4 linked regions of the Arabidopsis thaliana genome follow. The protein of the gene in region 2 binds, or shares a complex with, the protein of the main gene of each other region. Each region holds a gene or a part of one and is shown on either strand. Other genes may lie near its edges. The genes, in order: AT5G10960, AT5G11350, AT3G44240 and CAF1b.

Region 1 (7,904 bases), 160 kb from region 2:
TAATAGTTTGCCGGATTTTATGGTTGAAAGGTACGAAACTCCCTTAGGACACATTCTACTTCACAGTGATTTCCACTTTACATGATTCACTTGAATATTTATCATATCAATTAAGTGACATGATTAAAGATTAATATCACCCTTCTTTCACAAGTCCATTAAATGAATATTGTTTGTTTTTTCCGAAATATTCGAAGGCCAATAAATTTTGTTCTGGTTTGGGTGGGAAAACAAAGTGAAACGACAAAGCGTCTCATCTATGCTTGCTCGGGATACGAATCTTCAGTATTTGATTTCTCGAAAACTTTAGCATAAATTAATATGTGGTGGAAGCCGGAAAATATAAAAATAGGCAAGTAAAATCCAAAGAACTAATTGTTAGGACAACTAGTTTAAGTATGTTGAGTATTTTGTCGAATGCGACCTATATATAATTCGTGGGTCCAATGTTACAAACGATCTACAATTAAAGAAATTGTGAAAGCTGATTCGGTGGATCAATTGTTAGTATCAATTAAAAATTTGATTGACTACAAATTATTTTATAAGTCTCTTACATGTACACTAATATGAACTTTATAATAACTTAAGACTGTATAGGTATCACATTAGCATTTAAAAACAAGAAACATGATTGCGTAAGGGGAACTGAGACAAGTGGTGCAGGAGAAACCACCCCCACATGGATGATTACAAATATAAACACTATTTGTGTTACCAGTAATCACAAATCAGCTGAATCTTTTTGATTAGATTTGTCTGTCTCATCCAAAATTAGGCAAAAAGTATATTTCAAAACTACATCTGAACCTTACTCTTCATTTTTGAAGAATAAAATAACAAATAGCCCTAATCATACTTAGTTACTTACCATTTTTTCCGCAATCAAGTACTATACATCAACAGAAAAAAAAACTAATAAAATAAAAGTGGGTGCTTGACAGCTTCTTTTGGATTCACAAGGATATGTATATCATAAGTTGATGAGTAATCGTTATAATTAGGGTTGGCACTGATATTTTGCTGGTCTCAACCAAATTGATAAACATACTATGTTTAGGCATACCAAATTTTCCTCAACGAGAACAAGTTCAAAAAAGACATATGGCAGCCACAAGATAATAATTAGACACTAATTAACTCAATTCATATCTGATATGTATATAAATAATTTTGATGCTATTTCGTCCGCACTGTGTTACACATTTTTATTTAAATATGTAACGTTTTTTTGGTTACCTAAAGCAAAGCAATAGCCAATAGTGGTCATTTGATAATAACTAAACCCTAAAACAACAAACATGCCCAAATCAGAATCCCAATTCAACCTTGGTAAAAACGTTCTCCCACCTCTGATCAAAGCCCACACAACAAAGGCCCAAATCAGAATCCCAATTCCCAACACACAAACACACGTGAAGAGACTCAGAGAAGCCGTTAAAGACAGGACTAGCAAGTACACTGTTTCTTCTGTAATAAGAAGTAGATTTGATTCTCTGCCACACCTACATAATAGTGACTCGGACTTTTGCCGTATTGCTGTTGTTTTCTTCTTTTTACTTTATTTCTCGTGTCGTGTTGCTATTGGATCATATGTTTTCGATCATCAAACAAGTTCGTGTAATGAAATATTTAAGGTTTTGAGAAACTTAGATTTAATTATCTTGATGGAAACTGAGTTCATACACAAATCCACATTTTGACATAATACTTCCAACAGGCTGATACTTTTTTTTTTTTCTTCGGCAATTGAATGAGCTACGACGTCTCAATCAGTCAAATCTCGTAATCTTCTGTACCACTTGCGACTCAGATGACGTCTGAATACTTGCCCAACAAAACATTGATTGCATTAGAATGCTACTCATTGACAATATGATAATAAATTGGCTATTGAGGTGATTGGCGAATGCAACAGCATACATATGTGATTCTCCTCCACATTAACCATGACATGATACCACTTACATCATAAACACCTAAATAACAAATCTATACATCAATCGATTACCATAGCTCTGTTTTTTAAACAATGTAACACATATAACCTCTAGCATAAGCAGTTCATTGTTCTCCTTATCAACTTGTATCAACGAAGAGGGAAAGAAGAACACAGGAAGATTCAACATTCTCTTAAGCATAAAACTTACCAGTTTGCATCTTCAAACTGGTATGGTTACAAAGAATTACACAGTAACTGCAAGCTGAGACATGCAAACGCTACTACAAGAAGCCACTGTCAAGTTACATTGGTCACTAGTAAGAAGAAAACACACACAAAAAGAAAAGAGAAGAAAAATTAAAATTGGAGATTATTTATTAAATAAACGGGTAGCTGAATTGATATACATTCAGAAACTCAAGCTAAAACAAAAACCCCTCAAATTTTGATCACAAGGGGTTTTCCTGAAAACAAAGCAACAAAGACACAACAAGTCACTTACTAACACCAATTTGCCAATTTACACAACGACGATTCTATTTTGGTCTTCTCACACTCACAAAGACTAAAGAAATATATCTAATCGCACTTCCCTGGAATTTTCAAAGTATCTTTCATTCCTTTCTTCTTAATTAGCAACAGTAGTAGTAGTACCATCTTCCACACCTAGACCATACAAGACTCCAGTGTATTTCTCAGTTGATCCCGGGAAATAACGTTCCTTGAGCTTCCTAAACGACCCTAAGGTGAGCAAGCTATCCGACCCAGCTTGATGACAAATCCCAACTCTCTCCACTCCCATAAGCTCCGCAAGTCTGTTCAATCCACCAAACAGTCCGTTGCAGAACGTCATCAAGTGCTTGATATCGTAAACCGTAGGGAAATACACATACAGAAGCTTGAAGAAATCAGCTTGCTTGAGAGGCAATTCCTTACAAGTCAACAACTTAACCAAATACCCGAAATCATATCCACCATGGAACGTAACCCACGAGATAGCATCGTTCAAAACAATCCCAGACGACATCATAAGCTCACCAAACCTAACCACATCAATACCTTTCTCAATGTTCTTCTTGAAATCAATCCCACACTGACGCAACAGCTCAATAGACTCACTCGCGTAGATATCCTCACCGATGTTGAACTCACGGAAATTGAATTGCCAGATGCAGAACTTATCCGTCCCACAAGTCGGAAGATTCCCATTCTCATCAGAAAAAGTTAACCCAACTTGAATCAATTTCAACAAATCGACATTTTCCTTGAGAGTCCTGTAGTTAAGATCGTTATTGTACTTGAAAGTAGCAACAGGCTTCAAAACCACACCTGGAAACTCAGTATCCATAGCGATATAGCTGAATTTGTCAACAATCTCACGGATCAACGCGAATTCTTCAACCAAATTGTAATCCCAAACCTCTCGAATCATAATCGAATCTTCTTTCAAAGTCTCCGCCATTTCTAGATATACAACAAACCCAGATCTGAAAACAAAGCATACGTCGGAACTCGGAAATACTGCGAAACTCGTATCGGTAGATCTGTAAACGAAACCTTCCGATCTGAGGAAGAGGCAACAACACCAGGAAAATCAGAAATCGATGTAACAAAAAGCAAACCCTAGCTGTGAAACGAAAATCGAAATGAAACGGAGAGACATGAAAGTATGAAATTACCAGAGGTTTCGCAATACAGATGTAAGAAAAGGAACAGATCTAGCAGATTCGAAGAGAGATCTGTGCGTCTGCGAGAGAGAAATTATCGGGTCAACCAGAGAGAGAGGTTTCAAGTGGTATGGCTTTGGAGAAGATGAAGTGATAAATAAAGACAAGTGTGAGCCTTGAAACGAAGCCGTTTTGTTTGACGATGAAAAGCTTATACGACGACGTTTTGCCGTGCGTCTTCTTACATCAATCATTACGTTTTGGCCAGTTACCAATTATTTTATCCGTATTGTCCGTTTTCTAATTATTTTAATGATGCGAATTGTGTGATATGATGACCAATTTTTATTTATGTGTATCACGGAAATTCCGTTCGTTTGTAACTTCCATGATCTTTTTTTTTTCTTTTGCTTTGTAGACCTACCTCCATTATTCTTAAATTTTATGTATTTTATAGCATTTGGTACTAGAGTTAAATTGTTATACCTTATTATGACGATCGAACTTTATAGTTATAGGAAAAGTTGTATAAACTAAACTGCATTTTGATTTTTGTACAAGTCTAAATTTATATGGTTAAGAAACAGATTGTGCTAATAAACAATCAAAATTATTTATTTTTGCTATGGAGCTAGTCAGCTAGATGATTTGAAGAACCTTAAAACTTCTTTTTCTTACAATTTTAACTCAGTTTTATATCATTTGGTAATAATATTCCTACGGATTGTCTCGCAATTTTATATCACATTTTAATAATTTCTGTACTGATTATCTCACAAAATTGAAAGAATATCAATTTTTTTTTTTGTCGAAAATTTGAAAGAACATAATATTTGATTATTTTCCAGGTAAACTCTTTTATTTCTGTTTTTTTTTCTTCTATGTAAACTCTTCAATTTCGGATTTGTTTCCTATGTAGTTCTGCCAATTAATTGAAAATATGGTATCTTGTTTTTTTTCAACTCAAAAAAAGGATTTTAGATTTATGTTATCTTGTTATTAAGAAGGATTTGTTAGCATAATTGTTAAACAAAACAAAGTAATTTTAATTATAATAGAATTGACTTTGGGATTTCTACCTTACAAGTTACAAGTGGCCAATATTAATGCAATCATACAACGAATGGGAAGACGTTTGATAGAGATACATGCATCACTTGTTACAATCATCTTCGTTCATGAATAGAATCATTTTAGATTTATTTATTTTAGAAAAAAACTTTCAAGTTTCACCAGCGTAATCAGTTTTTCTTCTTAAAATTATTACATGAAAAGATTCTCCAACTCAAACGAGGACCAAAGTTCTTTTTTTTTTTACAAAAAAAGACAACTATTAGGAAGAAAGGGGATAAAGGAATTTTAATTCTAATTATTATTACGGAGTCAAGGCATCATCGTGCTTCCCACTTACCCTCAAGCATAATCCATTGTTTTGTAATAATTAATTCGTTTTTATATAAACTAATGTATTAGCTTGTTTTATATCAAATAATTGTGTACCTTTTTCTATAAATTAAAAAAAATAAACAAGTAATGTCAAGTCACGAAATATTAGATGGTGGTTTCATCATCCGACCATTTTTAGGAAATTTCTTCTGGAATCCAACACATACCAAACATGAAAGTTTCTGCATAATTGTTCTTATATATATAACAAAATTTACTTAATTGTTACCCTCCAAAAATATGTCTCACCGTGTAATTGCTTGCTCATCTAAAATCTAAATAGAATTCTATATTTAAAATCAAAATCGAAAAAAACGAAAATAGAAACTAAAATTGAAATTTTTGTTACTTAAATTAGAAAGAATTATTTAAACAGTTGCATGTATTTAACGTAGATAAATTCTTTAATATCACGTGCACATATAATTTAGATTAGGTAAATCATCTAGTACCAAATATTTGTTTAATTTTATGGGTTTTGGATTGTTTAGAGATGTTTAGATCGTTCCTACAAATGTTCGAACAGCTTGATAAAACAAATGTCATATTCTACATGAACTCTAGGTAACATTTCGATATGATCTATTATAAGATACACTTAAAGATAAGAAGGCTCATAGCTGTTAAGTTACTAAACGTTAAGTTCACTCGTAAAAACGAGTATTTAGTTCTTGATCACGTTTCAGAGAAAATAATCTTATTAGAAAACCATTAAAAACCAAGACCGTAAATCTGAAGATATATCGTTCATAATAATATGACCATATTTTCTATCATTTTATTTTGGACCAACTCCGGTGATCTAATATTAATTTGAGGATCATCATCTAGTCATCGTAAAGCACTATACTAGGATAAATATCTTTTCCTCTAACTTGATAACACTGGATATTGAAGGTCCAATTACTGGCAGAAAACATTAATAGGTAAATAACAACTGGCTAAAGATAAAAAAAAAGAAGACCTTTAACAAGAAAAAGATGAAAAAAAGAAGAGTGGAAGAGACCAATAGAAGTAAAGCAAAGAAAAGATGTGGTCGTCGTCAAACACGTGAGAGGTAATTCTTAACTAGTAAAGTCACGTGTCGTTGGTTAGTTCAGGGGAAAGAAATCTCTCAAATCCCCCAAATGACACCCCTTGGTAACCTAAATAAAACCCCCAATTTCACCGCTTCTTTCTTCTTCGCTCTCTTCCTATAAATCTCTCTCTGCGCTGTAAGAAAAATATCTTACACCAAACACAAACACAAAACACAGATTCCTTCTTGTTCTTCTTCTTCCTTTGATTGCTTTCGAAGATGGTTGGTTCTAGGAAGCGTTCATCAGCCAAGAACAGACTTGTTTCTTCTTCAACTCGTTCTTCTGGGAAGGATAAGGTTTTGCAACTATCGCTTCTTCTTCTTTGGTTTGAATTACTAGTTTTTCTATGCGAATTTGCTCTAAAGTATTGAACTTTACTAGGTTTCTGATGCTCGTAAATATGGTGAAGCCTTGGTGGGTTCAAGGATACGAGTTTGGTGGCCGATGGACAGCAAGTGAGTGTTCCAATCTTATTGAAAAAATTAGGGCTTTTTTACTATCAGTTACTTGTGGTCAATCTTACAGATCTCTTGGTTTTGCAGATTCTATAAGGGTGTGGTGGATTCCTATGTCTCTTCCAAGAAGAAACATCGGGTAATTCATATCATGTATCTTGTTACTTGTTTCTATGGGTCTGCTTGAATCTAGATTGGATTTTGAATTGCACATTCATTAAATGAATGAATTAGGGTTTATCTCTTGGATTTTAAGATCTATTGATATCTAATCTGAATTGAATGAGTTTGGTGGATGATTTACTTTATCAGAGGAATTTAAGTTGCTTAGATAATGTGTCATTTAATGAGTTACTCTTCATTGTTATTAGGTTTTCTATGAAGATGGTGATAAAGAGACCTTGGATCTGAAGAAGGAGAGATGGGAGTTGATTGAAGAAGATGATGCTGAATCTGAATCTGATGAGGTAGATATTAGACAGTGTTTGTTTAATCATTTATTGTCGATTTTATCCTGTGTATCACTAGCTTTTAATGGTTCAGCATTCTTTTTTTTCCAGATCTCCCTACAGGAGGAATCTGCTGGTGAGAGTTCTGAAGGCACTCCAGAACCGTAAGTTTGCCCTTATCTTCCTACCTGTTTTAGACATCGCAACCTTGAGTTTCTCTTTATACTTAACTAGGGTTATGATTTAGATCGTGTGTTGTATCGTATAGTACCGATTGTTTTAATATCACTAACAGTCATGATTTACGAACATGAGTGTGTCAGATACACATATATTCATGGCTGTGGATTGTGTCCCTGAATCTAAAGATTTAGGAGTAAGTAATTCTGAATGATCTTTGTTGTCTAAACTCTCTACAGGCCTAAAGGGAAAGGGAAGGCATCTTTAAAAGGAAGGACGGATGAAGCTATGCCCAAAAAGAAACAGAAGATAGATTCTTCATCAAAGAGGTTGGTTATGTTATACTATGCATTCTTAAATAAACAAACGTATATATGCACACTTCCACGCTCACGTGCGAGTTCAACACAGTATTATTGTGATGCTTTGATTCTGAAAATCTAATTACCCCAATTGTTTTTACAGCAAGGCCAAAGAGGTGGAGAAGAAGGCCTCAAAGCCCGAAACTGAGAAAAATGGCAAAATGGGTGATATTGGTGGGAAGATTGTAGCAGCGGCATCACGCATGAGTGAAAGGTTTCGGAGCAAGGGGAATGTGGATCAAAAAGAGACATCAAAGGCCTCGAAAAAACCAAAGATGTCTTCAAAGTTGACCAAGAGGAAACACACTGATGACCAAGATGAAG
Region 2 (9,606 bases):
AAATCAAATACACCTCTCCAAGCACAATAACCAGAGTACCTTTCACATAAAACGAAAAAAACAAAATCCTATATGATCAAGTCCACAAAATATCGATAAATGAAGATCACACTCTTATTTCAAACCTCAGTTTAAAGTCAGGCAAGAAAGTTTTCCGAATCGAAGACAAACACCCATCAGCTGCAATAAGTAAGTCTCCTTCAATTTCAACAGTTTCTTGAGTTTCCACAACTAAAGTCTTAACCTTTACATTAGATTCATCTTGTGACATTGTGAAAGACAGAAACTTATGTCCCCAAAGAAACATGGTCTGAGGCAATGCGTTATACAGAAGAGATTGAATATCTGACCAATAAGCTGCTCGGAAATCAAAATCCTCATCTCTTGTTAAAATCCTTGTCACTTTCTTCTCACTATCAGTTGTCTGATTCTACAACAAACCCACAACACACAAAAAAAGTTAAAAACTTTAGGTAGAGCTGGAAAAACTAAACGCCGATTGTTTCAATTGTCGAACTAAACTCAGTGTTCTTATTACCTGATCAATCGAGAGAGGCAAGGTGATTTCATCTAAGAGCTGTGGAGTAGTAAGCCATGATTTGATGATCTGCCGAGCCTGAGGGTCGAGTCCGAGCCCAGCACCAGTAGGACTCCCAACAGGAGGTTCGGAAGATTTCTCGAGAACCAAAACATCCCAGCATGCTAACGTGAGCGAGTGTGCGCAAGATAAGCCTGCTATACTTCCTCCTACTATGATCGCTTTCCCTTTCTTCTTCCCCATCTCATCAAATCAAATGTTTCTTCTGCTTCACAAATTGTTAACGATAAGAGAGAGTTTCAACTTAATGAAACCTCTGGGTGGATAAGAGGATTAGAACTATGTGGGATGATTCCAGGCCCAATATTCCAAGCCCAATCGTTTGGTCATATAAATAAGAAACTGATCTCTGTTGTGCGTCAAAACTATGTATTAGAATTTCATTTTGTCCAGGCCCAGAATGAATTATAGGCCCAATAGTCTATTCTCTCTCCCACGAACATTATTTATAGATTTTTGGGTTTCCCCTAAATCTCGAGCTTTTTCTTCCCTTGATTTCTTTGGTCTCTGTCCGTACGACGTCGAATATCTAGATTGTTCGACGGCGATGGGAGCTGGGAGAGAAGTCAGCGTATCGCTAGATGGAGTCAGAGACAAAAACTTGATGCAGCTTAAGATACTCAACACGGTTTTGTTCCCGGTTCGTTACAACGACAAGTACTACGCCGATGCAATCGCTGCCGGCGAATTCACCAAGCTTGGTTCGTCTTCTTCTTACTTGATTTTTCTTAATTTCTGTCTCTCTTTGCTTTCCCCAGTAATTCCTGCTTAAATTTCTTAATGGGCATGTGCTATTACGATTTCACGGGAATGTGCCTCTGAATCAGAACTAAAATTCATCGAATTTTGGTATTTTTGCTCTCAGATTTCTGTCTTTTTACCTGAGCGAGCATTAGTAGTCGAGTTTGTTCCTTTAATAGGAAAAGTTTGCTTTGGGGGGTTTATGATGAACTGTTCTGTGATTAGGCTTGGTATACTCTACAAAGAAAGTACCTTTTGCAATCCTGCTTTCCTTTGGTTGTTTGTTTAGTTGGTTCACTGGTCATTGTAATAGGTGTGATTATCTGTGTCTTCTCTTTTGTTCGGTTCCGTGAATTTATTTGACTGAGCCATGTTTTATTTAGGTTCAGTACTAGTGTCTGATACTAGGAAGAAGATGATTTTATCGGTAATATTGGTAGAAGCCTTCTTTCTAAGCCTTGAATGGATCGATTTTGTTTGCTTTCTATTGTCTGTTGTTTCGTAATTACCGATTCATGTTTGAACTTTGTGGTTGATGACATTGATGTTGACAAAGTATCATCTTGATCGTTGTTTTAAGTTGTTTGACTATATGAATACTGCATTCTTTTGTTCAACCAAGCAAAATTTTTTGTATGTTAAGCATGTGTACCTTGTAATCTATCGCTGATTGACTTATATTATCTTTCGAGAACATGGTCCAAGACTAATTTTCGTATTCACAGAATTTTTTCAAGCTCACTTTTGTGAAACCCTTGGTTGGAACATCTTTTGCGTCAACTAGTTCTTTAAATGTACAATAAGATGTGATTATGAAAGTCTAAAGACTGTTAACAACGTCTTAAATTTGGTACTAACTATTTCATTGCAGTTGCTTGGGTAGTTATGTTCTTGGTGTTACATATATTTTCTCTAATTTGTGATCAAGGAAAATTCTTCATGTTCTAATAATGGATTGACTTCCTCTCAGCATATTACAATGACATATGTGTTGGAGCTATCGCCTGTCGGCTGGAGAAGAAAGAAAGTGGGGCCATGCGAGTTTATATAATGACGCTTGGTGTTCTTGCACCCTACCGTGGGATTGGCATTGGTAAGTCATAAATCTGCTGTGCAAAACTTGAATACCGACAAAACATGAATAATGAAGAAAACTGTTAGCATGTTGTGTAATTCTGTTGTTTTCCTTACGTTTTAACACATGAGGCCAGCTGTAGTATGTTTATTCTGTAGTTCTCTATTTGAAGTGTCTCCATTTAGAGATTCAAACCACCAAGAAATAGTCCTTAGGGTTTTATGCATATCGTTGTTTTACCGAGAAACTGGAATTATGATTCCTCCTATATCAAGATTTAAGATCGAATTCCCTGCTTTAGAAAGAAAAACTCGATGTCTATAATTTGTGTATCTTGTTTTTTTCGTCTTTTGCAGGCTCAAATCTATTGAATCATGTTCTTGACATGTGCTCCAAGCAAAACATGTGTGAGATATACTTGCATGTGCAGACAAACAACGAAGACGCAATCAAGTTCTACAAGAAGTTCGGCTTTGAGATCACAGATACCATACAAAACTATTACATCAACATTGAGCCAAGAGATTGCTACGTTGTCAGCAAGTCCTTTGCTCAATCTGAAGCCAACAAATGATGAAAAATACCAAACTTGGGGAAGCCATTCCTCCCCAGTTTCTTTGTTGCATTCAGTTCAAGATCTATTAATGTTATGATGATCCTTCGGTTTCCGAGTTTTGCTTGTTTTGTTGACCTTAATTTTTCTTACTGATTCTAAATTTATAAATTCCTGGTTATATACTTGCATGATTTCTCTAATGTCCTCTTGGCTTTGGACATTTTCGTTTGGAAAAGTTTTTAACTTTGCAACTCAAAGCTTTACTACCAAGTATCATCGTGTTTGTAAATGTTGGTCTATGAATTTGAGTAAAGAGAGACAATGATTCTTGTTATGAGCTGTAGAATAAAGTAAAGAAAAAAATGAAGAATTTATGACTTGCGTTTTGGCTTGCGTGCCATTTATTCACAGTGAAGACTGGAAGATGTGTTCTTCTTGAATCAAAAAACGGCACGTCTTATGAGTCTCCGTTCATCGGTGTCTGCAATTAAGCACCGGTTCCTCGAGCTTCCTCACTCAATTCGATTGACCAATGCGGCGTTCTCGTTTTGTTGCTCAAGTTTTCTCCGACGTTACCTTCGCTGACGCCTCCACTATCTCTGCTCCAATCTTCACCATGTCTACTCGTGCTCCGGTAAATTTTCTCAGCTATTCTCTTGTTCTATCACTCCCGCTGCGTTGCTTCGGTTACTGGAATATAATTTGTTTCTTACGAAGCAGTACAGAGGTGCCCGAGGACGAGGACGAGGCCGAGGTGGGAGAAGTTTCTCCGATCGTCCGTACAATGATGACGCGGGAAGAGATCAGTTCGTTACTGGAGATTCTCATTTTCAATCAGTTCATGACGCCAATTTCCGATTCCGGCATGGTGAACCTTATCGACAACATCAGCCTCCGCTTGATCAGCGGCAGCAACCACCGTTCAATCAGAATTACGAATTTCGACCTCCGCCGCCGTCACGAGGTCAGTGGCAACAATTCCGTCAACCTAATCAGTTTCCGTCTAATCAAAACTACGCGGCTTGCCCTCCCCCTCCGTTCTATCAAAACCAGATGTCCCGGCCGCCTCCACAGCAGAGCTTTCGTCAACGGCCACGGTCAAAACCTTCAGATTACCGTGAATGGGAATATGCCAAAACGCCACCGTCTCCTGGCTCCGGTAATTTATGCGTGACCATCTCATTTGCTCCGGTATACAATTTTTGATTTGCTTTCTCTTGTCTACAGAAAAGTTTGTTGTTTTATCGTATAATATATTGGCGGATTACCTTGCAAATGATCACTGGAGAAGTCTTTACTTTCACATACCGAGGAATATGTTGAGTTGGGGATGGAGAAAGAGCAAATTAGTGTTCGAGCTTAGCCTATGGTCTGCAGATATAATGTGCCTTCAGGTTATAGTTTCTGCTATATCTTCTTGGTAATTGCTTGTATGAGGGACTAAGGAGACAAAACTTTCTTGCTTTACTATTTTTTTATCATATGTATACAGAATGTATCTTCCATATGTATAGTAATCTAAAATTATTTTGTATATGTCAGGAAGTTGATAAATTTCAGGACTTAGAGGAGGAGATGAAGCACCGGGGATATAGTGCTATTTGGAAGGTAGGTTTGTTGAAAACTTTTAGTTGTCTTGAGTTTGTATTCTCTACGGACTCTCTTGGAGTAAAGATTAAATGGTATGCATCATAAGAACTAGGCTTCAAATGTGGGGTTAACTCTATTTTATAAAACTGTAGATGCGGACTGGTAATGCTGTTGACGGATGTGCAATATTTTGGCGATCCAATAGGTTTGATTCCCTTGCTCTTCCTTGTGTGGATCAGTCTGGAATCTTGTTTAGGATTTCATTGTTATCATATTAGATTCAAGTTGGTTCACGAGGAAAGCATCCAGTTCAATCAACTTGGTCTCCGAGATAACGTTGCTCAAATATGTGTGCTTGAGGTAATATGGATACCTTATGTTGATAGTGACTTATATACATTTGCCTCTTTGCCCTAAATTAAATTTGCTCTGTGTAGACATTGTTGACTTCACATACAAAAGAAAATGAGACCCCTCCACCTGAAAGGTAACTTAAAAGTATCTGTAAATGTTACTATCATATCATTTTATGGGTGGATAATTTCACTAGGAAGTGGCCGATTTTCTTCAGATTTCAGTGGTTTTCTGTATGGACTATACTTTGTGGGTGGGTTGAAGTGAATTACCAATTTCTTTTACAGCTCTGCTGGTTCCCATCGAGTTGTCATTTGTAACATTCACGTGCTTTTTAATCCTAAAAGAGGAGACTTTAAACTTGGTCAGGTACTTTCCTTTAATGCCATATTCTAGTTTGTAGAAATCTTTTGCCAAACGACAGTTTTACTCTCTGGTTTAACTCTGTCTATACGCTATGAACATGTATAAGTGTTAGGTGTTTGAGATAAAACTTTTGAAACCAAACGCTTCGCCCCTTGCTTAACTTGGTTTCTTTAACTGTTTCCATTTATCATCTATGTATTTATCTCTGTTACGTAGGTCAGAACACTCTTAGATAAAGCTCATGCTGTTTCAAAACTCTGGGATGATGCGCCTATTGTTCTTTGTGGGGATTTCAATTGTACACCAAAGGTAGGACAATCTTACCTTAACCAGTTTGTATACCCCAAAAAACTTGTTTTGTGACATGGTCATAACATTCTTCCACCTGGTTGCAGAGTCCTTTGTACAACTTTATTTCAGACCGGAAGGTAAAGCTTCATTGTTAGGAAAGTCCTTCACCTATTCGCAACATTATATATATGGTTCACATTGTGTCTTGTGCTGCTCTCTGCAGTTGGATTTGTCTGGTTTGGCCAGAGACAAAGTTTCGGGGCAAGTTTCTGCTGAGTTTCGTCCACCAAGGCCAGAAAATTATACAACGAGGTAGAGCAAACTCACCAAGTTCTTCGACATCATTAAGTATATGGTTATGCAACTTAACACCTCCATGTCTACCCTAGAATATCGGGTTCTACTCTGCTTTTGCAATTGTCAGCATGGTTGATAGGCCTCCTCAATTTTCCAGGTATCAGTCCGCCAACAAATCTCCACAAGGTCAAGTTCAACCACCAAATTTGATCACAAATGCTCATATGGAGAATAACTCCAACATAGATGTTGGAACGGCCCCCTCCGAGAAGACATCTGAGCTTCCATGTGGTGATACAATTCTTGCTGGTCACGAAGCCACCTCCAGCTCTGACCAAGTATTACCATGCGAGAATATGGCCTCAGATTGTCAGTTTGGAATAGAAAACAGAAAACCTGATGATTCCGGGAATCTCTCGACAGCTGAAGATCTTTCTTCACTAACCATATCAGATACAGAACCTCAACATGCTTCCAGTGCTAGAGAAGATTTGAATACAGATCGTTCTGTAAGTTCCGGTTTATCAGAAACAGAGCAAACTCCTGAGGAAATATGTTCCAGTGATCAAGATATTTCATCTAGTCTCTCCACCAAGGTTGACACTTTTGTGGCTGAAATGAAACTAGATGGCTTAAAATTGGACGAACCAGTAGTATTCGCGCAAGATGAAGAAAGTTTAGGTGAAGATGGGGAAACCTTTTTGGCTAAGCTACACGATAACAATGAAAACTTGAGTCAAAAAGGGGAACTTGTGAGTGAAGTTCCACTTAAATGGAGTTCTGAAGCTTTAAATAGTGACAAAATCACTTATAGTCCATCCTCTTGGACTCCAATGGAGATAGCAACTGCAACTGGTGACCCAGAGAGAACTACGGTTGAACATGCTCTGGAGCTTAAAAGCACATACTCAGAAGTGGAGGTATTGTAATATATCCTCCCTACAGTTTTTCCCTTTTATCTTCTGTTTCTTGAGAAATTATATCCTTAGGAAGCTGTTGAAATTTGTGGTTAGGGTCAAGCAAACACAAGGGATGAAAACGGAGAACCTGTAGTGACCAGTTATCACAGATGTTTCATGGGGACAGTTGACTACATATGGTATTAGCATTAGAAGCAAAACCATTTGTGACAAACCTTAAAATTAGATTACTTCATTATTGTAAATTATGCGCGTTTTGACATATTCTCATGTTTGATTTCTGGTTTGGGTTAGGCGGTCGGAAGGTCTTCAAACAGTGCGTGTGCTTGCTCCAATACCAAAGCAAGCAATGCAGTGGACTCCAGGCTTCCCGACTCCTGTAAAATCCCATGATATTCTTATATAGCCTACCTTTTTAACTGAATTGTTTACAAAACTTTTTTATGTTTGTATTTCTGGTTTGTTACAGAAATGGGGAAGCGATCACATTGCACTGGTTTCAGAGTTGGCCTTCTGCAGCAGCAAAACTCTGCCCAAAAGCTGATATTAAACTGGTGGTGAGTTCATTAGAAATCTAAGAAAGTGTAAAGAGATTAGATGGTTGAGGTCTTGGGTTCAAAGCACATCCTTGTTGCAATGTTTGTGCTCTGAAGGTCGCCAATAGCTTATTTTATATCCCAGCAAAACATCTAAGAGTAAACTTTTACAGAATCTCATAGGCTCTAGTTTTGTATTTTTCTCTATCATATTTTACAGTGACAAATTATATTTGAGTTTTTCTTTTTGGGCGACACTCGATTTCAGAAAATCTGCTATAAAAGTTTAAAGCATGCTTCTTGATTTTAAATAGCTTCAATTGTTAACCCCTAACTCTTTCAGCTTTAGTCTAGACTGACTCTTTCAATTATTACAAATAAACACCTAGCATTTATCCATGTCCCTGTGTCCAATATAAGGACATCTCACATTAGGACCTAATCCCTGCAATATAATTCAGAGCATCCAAAACTTCTTGCATCAATGGTCGTTTCTTCTTGTCCCGATTGGTGCATCTTTGGATGAGTGTGACAATCTTTGTGGCCGCATCCACAGGATAATCGCTTCCTATTCGGGGGTCGATTATTTCCCCAATCTTATAATTATCGGGCAAGAAAGACCCAGTCCAATCTGAGCTTTGATTCTTCAAAGCTGTTGATCTATCTTGTGAACCAACTAAAAGCTCAAGCAAGATCACGCCAAATATGTCCTATCAATCAATAAGTACACAACACATATAGAGACAAAAGAAAAATTTAAATATGTTGAGTAAAAAAAAAAAGACAGACTTTACTTACCACCCACTCTTGTAGAGCCTGTGAACTGCCATGAAGATATTCGACAACAGAAACAGGGGTACCGGTTTTAGTTCTTGATGGTGCAAATGTGGTGTTATCGATGTAGCCCTTGTAGAATGATCGAATATAGTGATCATCGCGAATTACGACCCTGTCTTGTCTGGATTTCTTCGTTGCTTTCATCCATTCCTTGAAACTGAAGACTCTCAGATTCTCGCTTTGTGCCTCCACTTCTTCATATTACATATATAGACTTGAGTTACGTATTTTAAAAACATTACATGTAAACAATTGTAAAGTGAATTTATAAAACAGAGATGTACCTGGAATTAGAGGGACGGTGAGAGGCTGGTAAGCAAAAGAAGAAGGTTGTTGCTTGAAAGGCTTGACAATGTTTCCCATTGTTGAAGATACAAGGGTTCAAGGCTTGTTTCTCAATCTCTTTGGCTCTCAAAATCGGAATGGAATTCACAAGATACTTACTTCTGGTTTCAAGACATCTTGTTGGATTTTAAAGAGGTCAAAAAAATTCAACGCTTTGAAAAAGTTATGTTGAGACAGAAAAAGAAACAACCACTATTGATGACAGCAGTACTAGTTACTAAGCTCGGGGAAAAATTCTTAAAATCAAGTAAAGAATCTCAGAAAAGTGGCAAGACTCAGTTTTAGTAAGTTATTGACTTATATTGCTTTAGTTGATTACAACTTTTTCTGTAAGACACAAGTAAACAATTTCAGAAAAAGTGTTGTCAATTTCAGTAAGTTATTGACTTATTGCTTAGTTGATTATAAATACAGAGGCTCTAAATGGAACTTTGAAACGTATAGGGCACAGAAGAACAGTTGTTATTTTTGAGTAAAAATGTACAAAAAGACAAAACCAAAAACGCGTTTATTTGCTTTCCTTCTCTTCTAGTAAGCTGAACTGAAAAGCTATTTGAATATATATTTTTACTCTTTTTTCTCTTTGTAAATTCTAATAATCGAACAAAATATAACGAATTTTCCATATAAAAACAAGTCATTGGTGATATATTAATTTGTCTGTAAAACGTATTTCATTAAGATTTGTGTTTTTTCAAGTTACAACTGAAAAAATAAAAATATAGCATCCATTTGAATTTATTTTATAAAAATAAATAATTCTTTATTAAATAGCAAATAACTTTTCTCATTTTTTTTTGTAAATATTCTCTTTTCTATACACTAAAGTCTTTACAATATCACATATTTCATTGATTTTATTTCATTGACTATGTAAAGATATTCATTTATATATACAATTAGTATTTTTTTTAATTGAAAGTTAGTACTAGTATGTGACTCTGTGGGTCGATCCATTGGCTGGCCCACGAGGTCCACTACTTAACCGGTCTGAAAGTTTTATGTACATACCGCATAAGAGACCGGTAAACAGAGCGCTCTGTTTTTGTTTCGTTCCTAGGGTTTTAACAAATTGAAGGATTTTCTAGGGTTTGGTTCCA
Region 3 (6,729 bases), on a different chromosome or scaffold from region 2:
TTTCAATTATTTACTATTACTATTTGTATTCATTTTATATTTAAAGACTCTCCATAAGCATCCTCAATGAGGATGCTTTATAGTTTATAAATAGGAAAAAACTGCTTTTACGAGTGCTTAGCGTACTGATAAACTCATAAACATAAAGATTTATTTTGGCTCTGATTGGTGATAACAAAAAGAACGATAGGAATATGAATGAAAAAGAACAAAATGAAACAAGAAAGAAAAAGGAAAATGGTCATAAGTAGGAACCAGGAGGAACATAGGAATTGAACAAAATGATTATGGTAAATGGTAACTAAAAAGGTGAATTAATATTTAACATAACAATTACTAAAAAATTATTTATTGAATTTTGTTTATTAATTTCATTTAAAATTAAAGTTCTGTATAAATTTAAAATAAATTATATTATAAATTTCTCTCCAAAACATTTATTTATTTTATAGTAAAATTTTAAATTATTTTGCAAATTTAAAATAAATTTCACTTTAAAACATTTATTTATACTAATTTAAAATAAATTCATAACATTCATTAAATTGAAAGTTTGATAAAAAAAATTATATATCAATATATACTAAAGACATGGAAAATATTATATATAGAAATATAAATATTATCATAAAAGCTATTTTAAATTTATTTAATAAATAAAAACGAATTTTATTTTTTTTGTTACTCTTGGTTCCTCTACAATTTTGGGGTGAAACAATTTTGTTCTATTATTCTTTTTTTTTTAGGAATGATGAGGAAAAATGTAGGACCCACATGTCTGAAATTGGAACAAAAATACCTTGCAAATGCTAAAACAAAATTAGGAACAAAGAGGAACACGATTTTCCTACTCATTTTTTTCCTCAAAAGTGGTTACTAATCGGAAAATATCATCTTTAAACCATTTACTTTTCTCGATTTTAATCAAAAAATATCTAGTGAAGTGAGAGAATTTGCAGAAAAATAGCAGGTAGGAACTTTAGATTTTGAATATTTTATTTCTTTTTTTCTGCCTGTGAGCTCATTGTATGAGATATTTATGAAATATTTGAAGTTAATAAATTATTTTTATTAAACATTTTAAATACAGTTCGGACTTAATTAAAATAATAAAAATAATAACTAGATAATCATATACAGTAGTTTAATTCATGATCTATGACGAGGCACAAATATTTGGTATCATATTTGGCAATTTATATAAACTGAGCATTACTAAATTCTATCAAAGCCATGTAAATGAGAATACGATACAAATGGTTATTTGAATAATAGTGTATAAATAAAATTTAGTTAATCACTAAGTTCTATGAAGACAATATCAATCAGAATAGAACTTGATCATTCATGCATCTAAATGATTGTGTAGTATATTAGTATCAACATTTTAGTCAAGTCAACATGTAATGAAGAAAAAGTTCTAGTGTTGAATTAAGATCACAAATCAATACACAGCAGAAACACAAGCTAGGATCACAAGACATGGTAAAGGATGGGAATGATCTTGTTCAATTGGGCCATGTCAAATTATTCTTGGTGTATGCTGCTACTTCTCCATCTTCAATGTATCTTGAGTCTTGAAAACATCTCATTACTAGAAAAATAATTGAACGGACATATATCATTGATCAGTCTTAGGATTAGACAAAGGCACAAAGCACACACACACACTACACTATTGCTTCACTTTCTATAGTTCTTAACTCCAAAGAACCAAAACGAAGAAAGAGAGGAAACGGAGACAGTACCTTAGCGAAAACCATCGCCGTTAACTCGTTATTGGAACCGGCGTGGTGTGCAGTACCAACACGGTTAAGTCCGAACTCATGCGCTAGAGTCTCCAAACCAAGCCTGCTACTTAGTCCTTCACATCGACCCGCCATGACTTTCAAATCGTAAACAGAACCGAGAACTCTCGCGACCGCTTTAGAAAACCTCTCTGAAGTCACAGGTAAAGCTTCTCCGGTGAAACCCTTGAGTAAATAGGCGATGTCGTAAGATCCATGAAACGTGACCCAAGTAATATTCCTCCTCGTCTTCTTCAGCATCCAAAACATCTCCGAGAAGAAACCCTCGATTCTGATGCCCTCTTCTCTAATCTTCCTTAGATCTAGACCGTTGCGTCTAAGGAACTCAATGGATTTCTCGTTTCTAGCATCGTCAACTCCGAAATCAGAGAAATTGATCTCCCATGTTCCTCCAATTCTTCCATTGATATCGAACAGAGTTAGCCCTAACTGGATCAATTTTGCTCTGTCCACACTAAAACTCATATCCATGTAACGTTCCTCATCTGTCGCATGTTGTGTAGTTTCCCTCAAAGTAGATGGAAACTCTGTGTCTATTGCAATGAAACGGTAGCTTCTTAGACAATCTTCTATTAAACTCATCTCCTTGTTCCTATTTCAATTCCAGATTTCACGACCATTTTGTTCGAGAGCGAGAGAAAATAATGTGAGGGAGTCTTGGGACTGAAACTTCTTTATAGAGTCTGTCACCGCCGCAAAAGTCTTGGATTTGATTTTATTAGTTATTTCGGTTTTGGAAAAGGAAATTTCTTGTTTTCTTGCGAGACTAATATTGTAATTACTGATCATTTAAATTCACCTTTCAGGTATTTAAAATTCACAATATTATAAGAAATCAATGCTACAAATTCAGATTATTCTTTTATTGGTTTACTACCAAAAGTAAACCTATTTTTCAACATATTTCATCACTAGCAATATTAATGTGATGAGACTCTTATTGTTAAAAAGACAAAAATTCATAAATGAACTTTCTTTTTCCATTTTATTAGTTAAGATTAATTGTTTTAGTGAAAAATATATTTTCAGATAAATCTATCAAAAAGAATATACTATATTTGTGATTGTAGCTGTTATTGCTAGTATGTTGAATTTAGTCCGTAAATGAGTTCATGTATCTATAAAATTTAGACTGTCAATTTCCTAAAATCAAAATAACTTTCTAATATATTCATCACAATATTAGTGTGATAAGATTACAAATGTTAAAAAGGCAAAAATTTAAAAATAAACTTTCTTTTCTATTTTATATTAATTAAGATGAATCGTTCTAGTAAAACCTATTTTAAAATAATTATATTGTAAAAGGAATGGTATATTTGCAATTGTAGCTCTACTAATCTAGTTGTTAGTATGTTGAATTTAGCAAGGAAATGTATTGGCTTTATCTATAAACTAGATTTTAACCCGCGGTATACCGCACGGTATACCGCGGGACGATTTTAAAAGTAATATATATTAAAATTTGCAATTTTTAATTTTAAAATATATTTATATTTTACAGTTTATAATTGTTATTAAATAACGCTATACCACGAATCCATGAGATAATTGTTAAAAAACTGAAGTTGTAACCCCTATTAAAACAACAGCATAATAATAATTTAAAATTTTATAAATATTGATTCAAATACATCCACCATATAACCCAATTCCAAAATAAAACCTGTTCTATAATTTATTTACCCGTCCTGTGATTTTTTTTTTAAAGTAGTAATTTTTAAAATTTAAGAATTCTTTTTTATATATAAAAGTTTTGTAAATTGTATATTCTCTAATACATTTATATTTTATAATTTAATTATATATATAGTAATATTATACATACCACATAACATTTTTGGTTTTATATAATCTTTTCTAAATTAGGATGATTTGATATGTTTAATATTAGTGATCTTAAAAAATAATAAATTAAAGATTTAACCCGTATTGAAACAGTGGATTAATTATATTTTACTTTTTTATTAATGTTGATTCAAAAACCCGTCACTCCAAATCCGTCTTGCCAAAAAGCCATTTATTTTATTAATATTAATTTTACTAATGATATGACTCTGAATTATAATTTAAATATTTTAGCTGATAACATAGGAGTACACCATATTTATTTAATAGGGGAATGTACCATATGACCCGAATGCACTTTTACCCAAATCCACCAAACAAATGTTGCAAAAATACTATAGAGATAAAAAACGATAGTCGGTTTTGATAGGTATAAGATTAACAAATATATTAGTCAGCTTAAATTAGTTAAAGAATACAAATCGAAAAGGAATATTACACTTTATTCGAATATAGTATCAAAACTTATATAACACAGAGATTTGATAATTTTTTAATTGTTGAATACTTTTTTTTGTGCTAATTTTTATGTGATTAAGATTTAATTGATTTTGTATATAAAATATTAAATTGTTTTACGAACTTATTTGTTTATAATTTGGTAACAGATAGATATTTGAGTATTCAGTATATTTTGCTTCAGTTTAGGAAATCTTTGATGACCCGTCTTTAGATCCAATAAGCCCTATAATCTAGATATTAACCTGTAGTATACCGCAGGTAGGCTTATATTTTAGTTAAACTAAAAACTTTTATTGTAAAGATGATTTAAAAATATATGATATTATTTTATTTAATTTTAAATGTATAGTAAACTGTGAGTTGTATATGTTTTGTTGATATTATCTATATTGTTTAGTGTTTAAGATTATACACTTGTAGTTTGATTGTTAATTTAAGAGTTTCACCTGTAGTATACCATCTTATATTAATATCGATCTAAACCCGTCAATTCTAGGATTTTCTAGCTTGTATTAAAAATTGAATCACATCATACACATAAAAATTATTATAGTATATAAGATTATAAATTTTCAATATAATATGTATGAAATTAAATATAAATATTTCAAATTATGACCCGTTACTCAGTAGAAAGTTTTCTTAAATCTATTTTTCACCCGGTATAATATTTTTTCATGTATTTAACAGTTTATATTCGTTTTTAAAAATTCTAATTATTGCATATGCGAAAAAACTCTAATTATTTTTTTATAATGATGATATTATTTTTTTGCAAAAATAGAATCATATAAAGATGAGAAGTGAATTATAATAATTAATAAAACATTAATATGATAATTTAGATATCAAATCTAATTTGTTGATTTTAATTGGTTACTTTTTTGGAAATTAATAATGTATTTTATTTTTCTAATTAAATCAAATTAATTAAAATTTAGATATCAAATCTTATATGTTGATTTTGATTGGTTATTATTTTTGAAAATTAATAATGTATTTCGTTTTTAAATTAAATTTAATTAATTAAATTAGTATTTGACTTTTTAATCCTTAAAGAGATAAATTAATTTACTCTTTAAAATTTTATTCCTAATGGCATACCTATGTAATTACTTACAAAAATTAAGGTTATATTTAAAATGTACTTCCCAAATAATATAGTAGGATTTACACCATCAGTAACCTAAAATAGGACTAACTTTTTTAACATATTTTTATATCATAGAGTAATTTTGGTATACATCAACTGCAAATATTAAGCTTTTTTGCCACCTAGATATTTTCTAGTTCAATTGATTTATGACAATTTTGAATTTTGGGAAACGAGAAATTGGTAAAAGACCACAGATAGAAATGTCAATATTTTTTTGGATTATCTGTTATATTTGAAAACACTAAAAAGTATAATTTGTTTATCTAGTTGATGACTTATATTGGAATTGGATGGAAACTTTAACAAAGTTAACATCCACATATTTTATTTATTTACTCCTAATCGACCTCTTCCATATTTATTTACTCCTAAAGTCGAAGCTTAAGTTTATGTAATTGAAAGGGATTAAAAGTATATCTCTAGGTAAGGTCCTCCCTTTCGTCTCTTATCTTTTGTAGATATAGATGTGATTTCTTCGATTTGAAATCAAAATTAATTGTATCTAGAGCTAGATTGATTTAGGCATCTCTTAATACGGAGTTATCCTTCGGATTGTGAAACCAATGGATCAAGTTTGGTGATACAGATAAGAATAAACTTATAGATTCTTTACATCCTCAAACGATGCAATGATTAGAGACAATAAGGTTTTCCTAACTAAAAAGCTTCGCTTTATAGGAATGTATCTCATACAAATATAAGAGTTCATTATCATCTTGAGTACATAATTCATATAGTTTTTACGTCCTTACCAAAACATCCAATAACCAATTCGTGTTGTGTCATTCTTAAAAAAAAAAAACTGAAAAGAGAGTTGTCCCTGGTAACGGTCCAAATCAATTCAACTTTGCTTCGTACATGCTTGTTATATTGAGCTGTGACCATCGCGTAGTAGACGGTAATTCAGTTCAATCATGTCATTGGTTCTTTCATCATCATTGTATAAATTTAATCTTCTTCTTCTTAGTGCAGGTGCCATTGGAGCTGAATGGTTGAAGGCATTTAAGGGACACATCGAGAACCCTGAATCAATGTTACTCTAAAAGAGAATCGGCCACACAATGGGAAAACACATCAAAAGCTCGTAAGAGTCTCTGATCTTGCATTTTTCTATGACACAAACATGATCTATATTAACAATAACATAGTGTTAATAAACTGTTTTTACATGTTCATCAGCGAAGACTAAGTTAAGCGTTTCACCAGTGGTGTTGCACATGGCAACATGTTTTGTAAGGTCTGATGTCCCTCGAATAAGCCTATAAGCTGCCATTGTTACTGGTAAGGTTTCTTATCTTTTGCTATATATCGAATGGTACTGAGAAAAGTGGAAAATGAGCAACTATTTATAGAGTGTGGTTTAGGGTTCAGAGAATATTTAAAATCTTGATGAGTAAGAATTTGGTATCTTTGGATATTTTCAAATTAGGGAAAACAGAGAATCTGCTAGATTGA
Region 4 (7,256 bases), 3.7 Mb from region 2:
TCACCAATGTACATAATCACAGTCTGGAAAAGTAACCATATCTAAAAAATCATGCTTGACTTAATTCATATTTACCTGTATGTTACATTATATACAGATGGGTGTAGATTACTGGTTTCGATCAGAGGTAGGCGAAGTCAGCATCACAGACATGTGGCCAGATGAATGTATCCTTGATTTCTATCACTTTCTGTGATTTAATCTAATCTCTCTTTGAGCTTTTGAGTTTTTTCCTCCCCAAATATGATATCTGTTTAGAGCTCCTTGACTCTTTCATCATTAGCTGGACCAGACTGGAACCAGATGATTACATTTGATCAAGACCACGCTGGACCGAGCGACAACAAAATCTTGGAGCAGCCACAAACTCCATCGAGCCCAACACCAGAAGAATCCACTGCTACGAGATCACCTACAGGTAGCTGAAGTTACCATACCACATTACAAGCACCACCATATATCTGTACATAGAATCTGATTTCGGTGAAACCAGAGTTAATGTTGTACTTGTACAGTAGCTGCATTGCATTATCATAGAATAGAGATTGCAAAATAAAAGTAGAGAAACCAACCCCTTCGTTGTATTCTTCATTTTTTTTCTTTGTTAGCTTCTCAGGCTTAATATAGAATTAGCCTTAGCCCATTGATTTCTTAATATTGGTCTTGTTCATGTGAAACTGCAAAACCTTTTAGAGTTGTAGACGGGTGCTTAGTAGTTTTACATGCTCCATTTCCGGTTTACCAAAAAGGTAACCAGATCGAAACTAAAACATATTTCCGTTCATCAAAAATCTTGACGAAAACATATTGGTTCGGTTGTGGTTTGAGAGATTTCTTTTTGGTTCAAATCGGTTTCTATGTCCAATCCTTTGATATCACTCGAGATAGTTTCTTACAAATGATATCATATATAACTTTGAATTCACCTCAAGATGGTATTATTTTCCTTAAAAAAGAAATCCATCAAAATTGTGCATCTCCAAAGCAATGAGCAATGCTGAATCTCCAAGCTAAGTTAAATGAAAAAAAGGTTCCTCTTTTAACAAACTTTCCCACACCAACATCCTCACTCAATAATCTCAACTTGTTTTCTCTTCCTCTAGTAAAAAAAAAAATGTCTTTCAAGAAGATGATGAAGTATATACTCAAAACCATATTCAAACCCATTTTTATGGCATGCGGTTGCGGCTCTACCGTTCCACCTTCCTCTCACAGCCACTACACCCCGGGACCACCGGTTTCTCCCACGGTTTTACGCAGCCCATGTCCTAAGATCGATGAGAGCGTCGCGATGGCTAAAGAATCAATCAATCCGTTCGAAGATTACAAGAAGTCGATGAATCAGATGATCGAAGAGAGATATATCGAGACGGAAAGTGAACTTAAGGAGCTTCTAAGGTGTTTCTTGGACATAAACCCTTCTCCTCAACACAATCTCATCGTCCGTGCTTTTGTCGACGTCTGTTCACATCTCCAACCACCACACGACCGACGTGGGAAGTCACTTGGGAGATTGCTTCGTCTATATGTTAACAATCCTCTTGATAACAATGATGATGACTCACACCAAACTTCTTCAAAATGAGGAACTAAATCCTCCTCATATCTCTCTCTATATATAGATGTTACAATATTGTGAATAATTTCAATTTATGATTCCATGACTAGATGTAAACTATTAAACAACACCAACAAAAATCAAAGTTATACCTCAAAGCCTAGCTCTAACGTAACGATAATATTTTACTGCACAAAAAGTTTTGAAGTGTAAATTGGTTAAACAAAACCAAATTGAGTTATTTCGTTTTGGTTTTTGGATTTGGTTAAAACGAGAGATGAATAAGATAATTTCGATTTCGACTGTATAAATGATTAACAAAGATTAATTAAATTAATTAATTATAAATCCCTCAAAAAACCTCTAAACCATACAAAACTCCGGCGTGTTTCTCCGCCCCATCCTCAACGAAATACAAATCCCTCATCCTCTGAAACGCCTGCCACGTCAGCAAACTATCCGAACCGGCTTGATGACATTTCCCAACCGCCCGGTTAACTTCAAGAGACCGAGCAACCCGGTCCAAACCACCATACAATCTCTGCTCACAAAACCTCATAATATGTTTCACATCATAAACCCTATCACCGAAGAAAGCTCTAAGCAACCCTAAAAACTCACGCAACGCCACCGGAAGCTGCCGGCGCGTGAGAATCTTCACAAGGTAACCAAAATCATACGCGCTGTGAAACGTCACCCAGCTCACAGACTCGTTACAGATCAACCCCGATGACATCATCAGCTCCGCGAACCTCTCCGATTCAACACCTTCGCGACGGTTCCGCTCGAAATCGATCCCGTGACGACGGAGTAGCTCGATCGAATCAGGAGCGTGTGGATCACGCTCCACGTCGAAGTCACGGAAATTGAATTCCCAGATGTATCGACGGTTTTTTTGACCGCCGAGATCTGGGAGGTTTCCGTCGGCGTCGGAGAGAGTAAGACCGACTTGGATCAAACTTAAAGCGTCAACGTTGGATTTGAGAAGATTGTAGAGATAATTAGGGTTTCCACGGCGGAGAACGTCGAGATCCGCCTTGTAAATCACGCCGGGAAATTCTGTATCCATTGAGATGAATGGGTAATCTTCGACGATTCCTCTGATTAGGTCAAACTCTGACTCGAGATTATAAGCCCAAACGTCACGAATCACGATCACATCGGAGAGATCTGCTTCTGATTTGATCATAGTTTCAAGTCCCGATCTTTTAGGTCTTCTTCTTCGTTGTGAATTTATCAAAAGTCTGTTTTTTTTTGTTGATTTGGTTAATCTGCAAGGTTTAGTTATATATATGAATGTGAGTAAGAGAGTGTTTACGAGGAAGGAGAGGAGAAGAAGTGTGAGAAACGCGCACGTTTATGATTCAATGTGTTTCTTGACTTAGTCTAAGTTGGCTTCTCCTTCGTGTATCGAATTATTGCAATTCAAGTCGTTGTATTTAAGTAAGTACATTAAGCCGACAAGAATAAGAAGGCCAAGTACATTAAGATTTTCTATTGGTTTTTAAGAGTTGAATAAAACATGTAAACGTTACGACTTACGACCAATGAACTTTATCAGGAATATTGCTATATTACCAATAAACACTGAATATGTAACGACGCACTAAAAACGCATTAAAGGGTTGAATCATTAGATTATGATGATGTCTACACGTATCTGATTGTGCTTTAATGTTTTCACGAAATTGTAGCAACAGCGAAGCCTAGGTTGAGCCCTTTTCAGTTTTCATTGTTCCCTAGTTTACTCATCGAATCTCATGACTTTGTTGGTAGTGTTTAGAAGATTGTTCTTCCAGATTTGGATGTAAGTCCCAATTTCTAGAAACAATATCACAAACGTAGATAGTCCGTGGAGTTTTCCATCTTCAGTCAATATAATAAGAAACTTTTTAGGACGTTGACCTTGAACAGAGTTGTTAAACACATGACTGTTTTTCTTTCATTTCCTTTGTTTGCAATAACTTGATATTGTTCCATGTTAATGAAGAAATAATTTATTAATTCCAAATGCATCAATTGTAAAACTAAATTATTTAAATTATGTAAACCTTCTTTTGTTTGTAATTTTGTTTTTGCATCAATTGTAAGCCTAAATTATTTAAAACACTACACACTTCTTTCTCCGCCTTGTGTTGTGAATTATTTTCTGTTAAAATTTAACTGCCTTTTCTTGGAGACAAGCCTTAAGGTTGTTGTCAAGTAAAACTTGGAATCACGGTTGGAGTAGATGACGTCACATGAGTCATCAGGGGAAGAGGAGAGCGACATGTTGATAATGATATTATTAGAACAGTCAGGCTCCAGAGGAGGCAAGGATATGACTTTGTGATTCAACATGTTGGTGATATAGACGCAGGAGGGATCATTAGAATTCACGTTGATCGAGGAGTATAATTTATGTATTATGACGTAATGATAGAAAAAAAGAAGGTTTAATATAACATGAATGATTTAGGGTAAAAAAGAGAGAGGAATAAGATGTTGATCACAACTTTGACAAAGAAAAATGCGAGGCACTTCCTCATTGTGTTGAACACCAACACACCTTGTGTGTTGCCATACTTCACAAATATCACAACACACCATTCTCTCTCCATCTTCTTCCGTTGCTCCACACTCACACTCTATTCTCTTATCCTTCTTTTTATCATCATCTTCATAACATTTCGTCACTTCAATGTTCATCATCATTCCTACGTTCCCTTCTAACACCAATCCCTTATTCCCATTCAAGGCCATTTCATCGACCCTTGTGATCTCTATTTGACCACCCACCACTGACTCCACCACGACGTCTCTTAGTTCCCAATAGATATCTCTAAACACTCTTTCTGCCTCTCCGTACACTTCACTCAATGTTGCATCTTTCTTCACTACAATGCATTCTTGTGGAGGAACTTTTATCTCGTTGTTATGATGATGACATTTCCACGCGATCGTGCAGAATATTCCTAATTCTTCCCCTCGATCTAAGTGTAACGTTTTCGCCGATGTATCTCTAATGTAGTGATACTCTTTGATGAAGTACTTAGCGTCGAGGATTGCTCTTGAAGCCATTCCGATTTGGTTCAATATACCTCCTATGGGGCCTAACACTCCCTTGTAGTCCATGAGAATGTGTTTGTAAAAATAAAACATGTCTTTCATAACTTGACCTCTTGTGATCTTATTGTGACCGTTTGTCGCCATCTTCCCCATTGAGTTTTGGTTTTGAAGGGTTATGAGTTCATTGTTACTACTTGGTAACAAATTTGATATATCCTCCAAGGAATACTCTAGCACTTTCTTCACCGGATTTAGACTACGTCGGACCAAATAGTTTCCAACCACCTGGTTCCCAAGCGACTTCAACACAAAATCAAGCAAACCAGTGTCCCCAATGTAATTTCTAGCTGCATCCCTCACTTCTTGTCTCGATATCCATCGGTATTCGACTCTTTTCAGTGACTCTATGACCACTTTGATAGCCATTTGGATCCGTTTTTGAGACCATCTGCAGTTGGTACTATCAATGGAGATGATTTGGTTTCGGGAGTTACTCATGTAGTTATCTCTTGGAAGACGTGAATGGAGATGAAGCATGAACCTGAAGAGGTCACTGAGAGTGATCAATGGCTCGGTGGATAAACTTTGGTACTTTGACAAGAGGATTGGAGTTTCTCGGTTAAGGCTGGTTAGGTGATGGTTAAGCAAGCACAAGGGTATGTTACGGACCGACTCAAGTGCCTTCTCGTAAATCTTTTGAGTCACTCCGTATGTCCCTGACCCGAACCGGTAGCCCCAACGACCGAACCATGGCTCTCCTTTTGCTACCCCATGCAGCAGCCTCAACTCCATTCCTTTTTTGTGCGACGCGTCATTCAACCCTATTTTCCTATATGAACAAAAATAAAATGACTCATTATGTGTAAATCCAAATTAATAGCTAGGAATAATCCATTATGATATGAAAACTAACAGAATTGTGTTGAATGGTTATTGTGTTGAATGGTTTATATGATATACAAATATATAAAGTCTAATTAGTACCTGGCCTTTAAACCGGTGCAGAGCCGGTCCCACAAATCCATGACCTGATGACCGGTTAAGTCGGAGCCGGTTTCAATGCCGTTGAGAGAGAGCAAGTGACCAAATCCGTTGGAGTGAAAGAAGCCGTGAAGGACATGGCCTTGAAGCTCCACAAGATGGGAGAAACTTTCCTTTTCGGGAAAAGCGTAGCCTCCACCTTCCAGTTTTAAAAAAGCCGCCATTGTTTCCTTTGAGGGGATCACGAAATGGTACTTCTTGTTGCATATCATTTGATTTCCCCAACCTGCAAGGTTCCGTATAAACCATTGTATAATATATATTTTTGATCTTTACATAAATGCATCACTTTTAACCATATATTAAATTATTATTGCTATTTTTGTTCATAAGTACGTGTAAGCTTGTATATAGATATATATGCAAGAAAAATGCTTACATGTTGAGCTAGCTAGGTCAACTCTTACTAAATTTTCAGCTTATGATCTTAGGTCATATATAGTTATATACGAATGTATTCACATGCATATATAGATAGATACGCAAAAGAAAAATTGTATACAGAGAGAGAGAAGGGAAAAGAGAGAGAGGACGTCACCAACATATTGGCAATGGTTGCAACGGAGATTGAGAGAGGCTTCGATGGGCTCTTCTACGACAAAGAGAAGAACATAGAGAGGATTTGGATTTCGTTGAATCTCGAGCTGAAAAGACCAACTTCCCATTAGACCGGAGCTCTCAAAGTGACCAAACTCAAGTAGTTTAGCGAGGTTATCTCGAAAAGACAACTCGTTCATCTCAGCTGGATGTCCAGACTCTCCGAACGTCTTCAGCCTAAAAACTCTACTTTCCCCTCTCTTCCTCTTCTTTGGAATATGTTGCTGATGGTCTGTTCGAATCAGATTCGCCATCGAATCAGAAATTTGGTTTGATCTTGAGAAGAGAGGGAATAGGAATATGATAGATTTGGATATATATTATGATGGGGTTTGTTATAAGAAGAGACCGAAAAGTGTTGAGGAAGTGTGTTAAGGGTTTAGAGATATAGTAGTCATTAAGATGATGGTCACACAATTAGTGCTTTGTGGTGATGAAAAGGAAAAGTGAGTGAGAGAAAGAGAAAGGTTAATTAAACTGTGAATTAACAATTGTTACCATTGGATTGTATGTTAGGTCTTGATATGTGCATGACTTGTAACATTAACAACTTTTCTTTCTTAGCCAAATAATTAACTATTTTTCAAAAAAACATTCAAACCCTTCTTATTCCCAAATCTAATTTCATTTCTAAAAATACTTCTGTAATATTCGAAACTGGATTGATAATTTTAATACATATACATGTATTTGTGTAAGAATATGTGACAAATGGCATGCAAAAAGATCGAGGGTGAGGAATGTCACGTGACTTGGGAACATGAGAAGATAATATAATAAAATAATGAAGACATGCATTTGAGCTTCTCACATTTTTAAAGAATCAGATTAACTCTGTGTTCCGTCAATTTCTGTCATGTCTACCTGCACATATATGCATCTATTACATAACACACACGTGTGTGTTTGCGTGGTTGGACAAACTCAATTTAGTCGATTATCAATGTTTTAATTGATATGTAGTTTATTGATTTGTGATAGTGTTGATGATTTGTCATCACTATATGTTCAA

The links.
Region 1: AT5G11350 (region 2) and AT5G10960 share a complex: the UniProt entries of both Arabidopsis thaliana proteins name them as parts of the CCR4-NOT complex.
Region 3: AT5G11350 (region 2) and AT3G44240 share a complex: the UniProt entries of both Arabidopsis thaliana proteins name them as parts of the CCR4-NOT complex.
Region 4: AT5G11350 (region 2) and CAF1b share a complex: the UniProt entries of both Arabidopsis thaliana proteins name them as parts of the CCR4-NOT complex.

What each region holds. Positions count from the first base shown.
Region 1 is NC_003076.8:3,460,081-3,467,984, reverse strand, and holds AT5G10960 (Polynucleotidyl transferase, ribonuclease H-like superfamily protein), read right to left. Parts: upstream 3,888-7,904; 5' UTR 3,622-3,887; intron 3,508-3,621; 5' UTR 3,405-3,507; coding exon 2,571-3,404; 3' UTR 1,671-2,570; downstream 1-1,670. Other genes in the region: AT5G10950 (Tudor/PWWP/MBT superfamily protein), read left to right, coding at 6,353-6,430, 6,516-6,589, 6,677-6,728, 6,961-7,056, 7,150-7,202, 7,458-7,547, 7,684-7,904. UniProt on the Arabidopsis thaliana protein: Ubiquitous transcription factor required for a diverse set of processes. It is a component of the CCR4 complex involved in the control of gene expression.
Region 2 is NC_003076.8:3,618,081-3,627,686, forward strand, and holds AT5G11350 (DNAse I-like superfamily protein), read left to right. Parts: upstream 1-3,438; 5' UTR 3,439-3,502; coding exon 3,503-3,604; intron 3,605-3,687; coding exon 3,688-4,129; exon of another isoform or gene 4,130-4,136; coding exon of another isoform or gene 4,137-4,197; coding exon 4,198-4,364; intron 4,365-4,512; coding exon 4,513-4,578; intron 4,579-4,712; coding exon 4,713-4,765; intron 4,766-4,838; coding exon 4,839-4,920; intron 4,921-4,997; coding exon 4,998-5,047; intron 5,048-5,201; coding exon 5,202-5,283; intron 5,284-5,496; coding exon 5,497-5,589; intron 5,590-5,675; coding exon 5,676-5,708; intron 5,709-5,794; coding exon 5,795-5,883; intron 5,884-6,025; coding exon 6,026-6,788; intron 6,789-6,881; coding exon 6,882-6,967; coding exon of another isoform or gene 6,968-6,974; intron 6,975-7,082; coding exon 7,083-7,167; coding exon of another isoform or gene 7,168-7,194; intron 7,195-7,257; coding exon 7,258-7,332; downstream 7,333-9,606. Other genes in the region: AT5G11330 (FAD/NAD(P)-binding oxidoreductase family protein), read right to left, coding at 1-39, 126-430, 539-781; AT5G11340 (Acyl-CoA N-acyltransferases (NAT) superfamily protein), read left to right, coding at 1,146-1,299, 2,310-2,432, 2,771-2,988; AT5G11360 (Interleukin-1 receptor-associated kinase 4 protein), read right to left, coding at 7,756-8,034, 8,123-8,355, 8,446-8,524. UniProt on the Arabidopsis thaliana protein: Acts as a catalytic component of the CCR4-NOT core complex, which in the nucleus seems to be a general transcription factor, and in the cytoplasm the major mRNA deadenylase involved in mRNA turnover.
Region 3 is NC_003074.8:15,935,845-15,942,573, reverse strand, and holds AT3G44240 (Polynucleotidyl transferase, ribonuclease H-like superfamily protein), read right to left. Parts: upstream 2,391-6,729; coding exon 1,671-2,390; downstream 1-1,670. UniProt on the Arabidopsis thaliana protein: Ubiquitous transcription factor required for a diverse set of processes. It is a component of the CCR4 complex involved in the control of gene expression.
Region 4 is NC_003076.8:7,363,695-7,370,950, forward strand, and holds CAF1b (Polynucleotidyl transferase, ribonuclease H-like superfamily protein), read right to left. Parts: upstream 3,106-7,256; 5' UTR 2,748-3,105; coding exon 1,911-2,747; 3' UTR 1,783-1,910; downstream 1-1,782. Other genes in the region: E2F1 (E2F transcription factor 1), read left to right, coding at 98-167, 284-426; OFP10 (Ovate family protein), read left to right, coding at 995-1,585; MS1 (RING/FYVE/PHD zinc finger superfamily protein), read right to left, coding at 4,013-5,435, 5,591-5,873, 6,186-6,498. UniProt on the Arabidopsis thaliana protein: Ubiquitous transcription factor required for a diverse set of processes. It is a component of the CCR4 complex involved in the control of gene expression.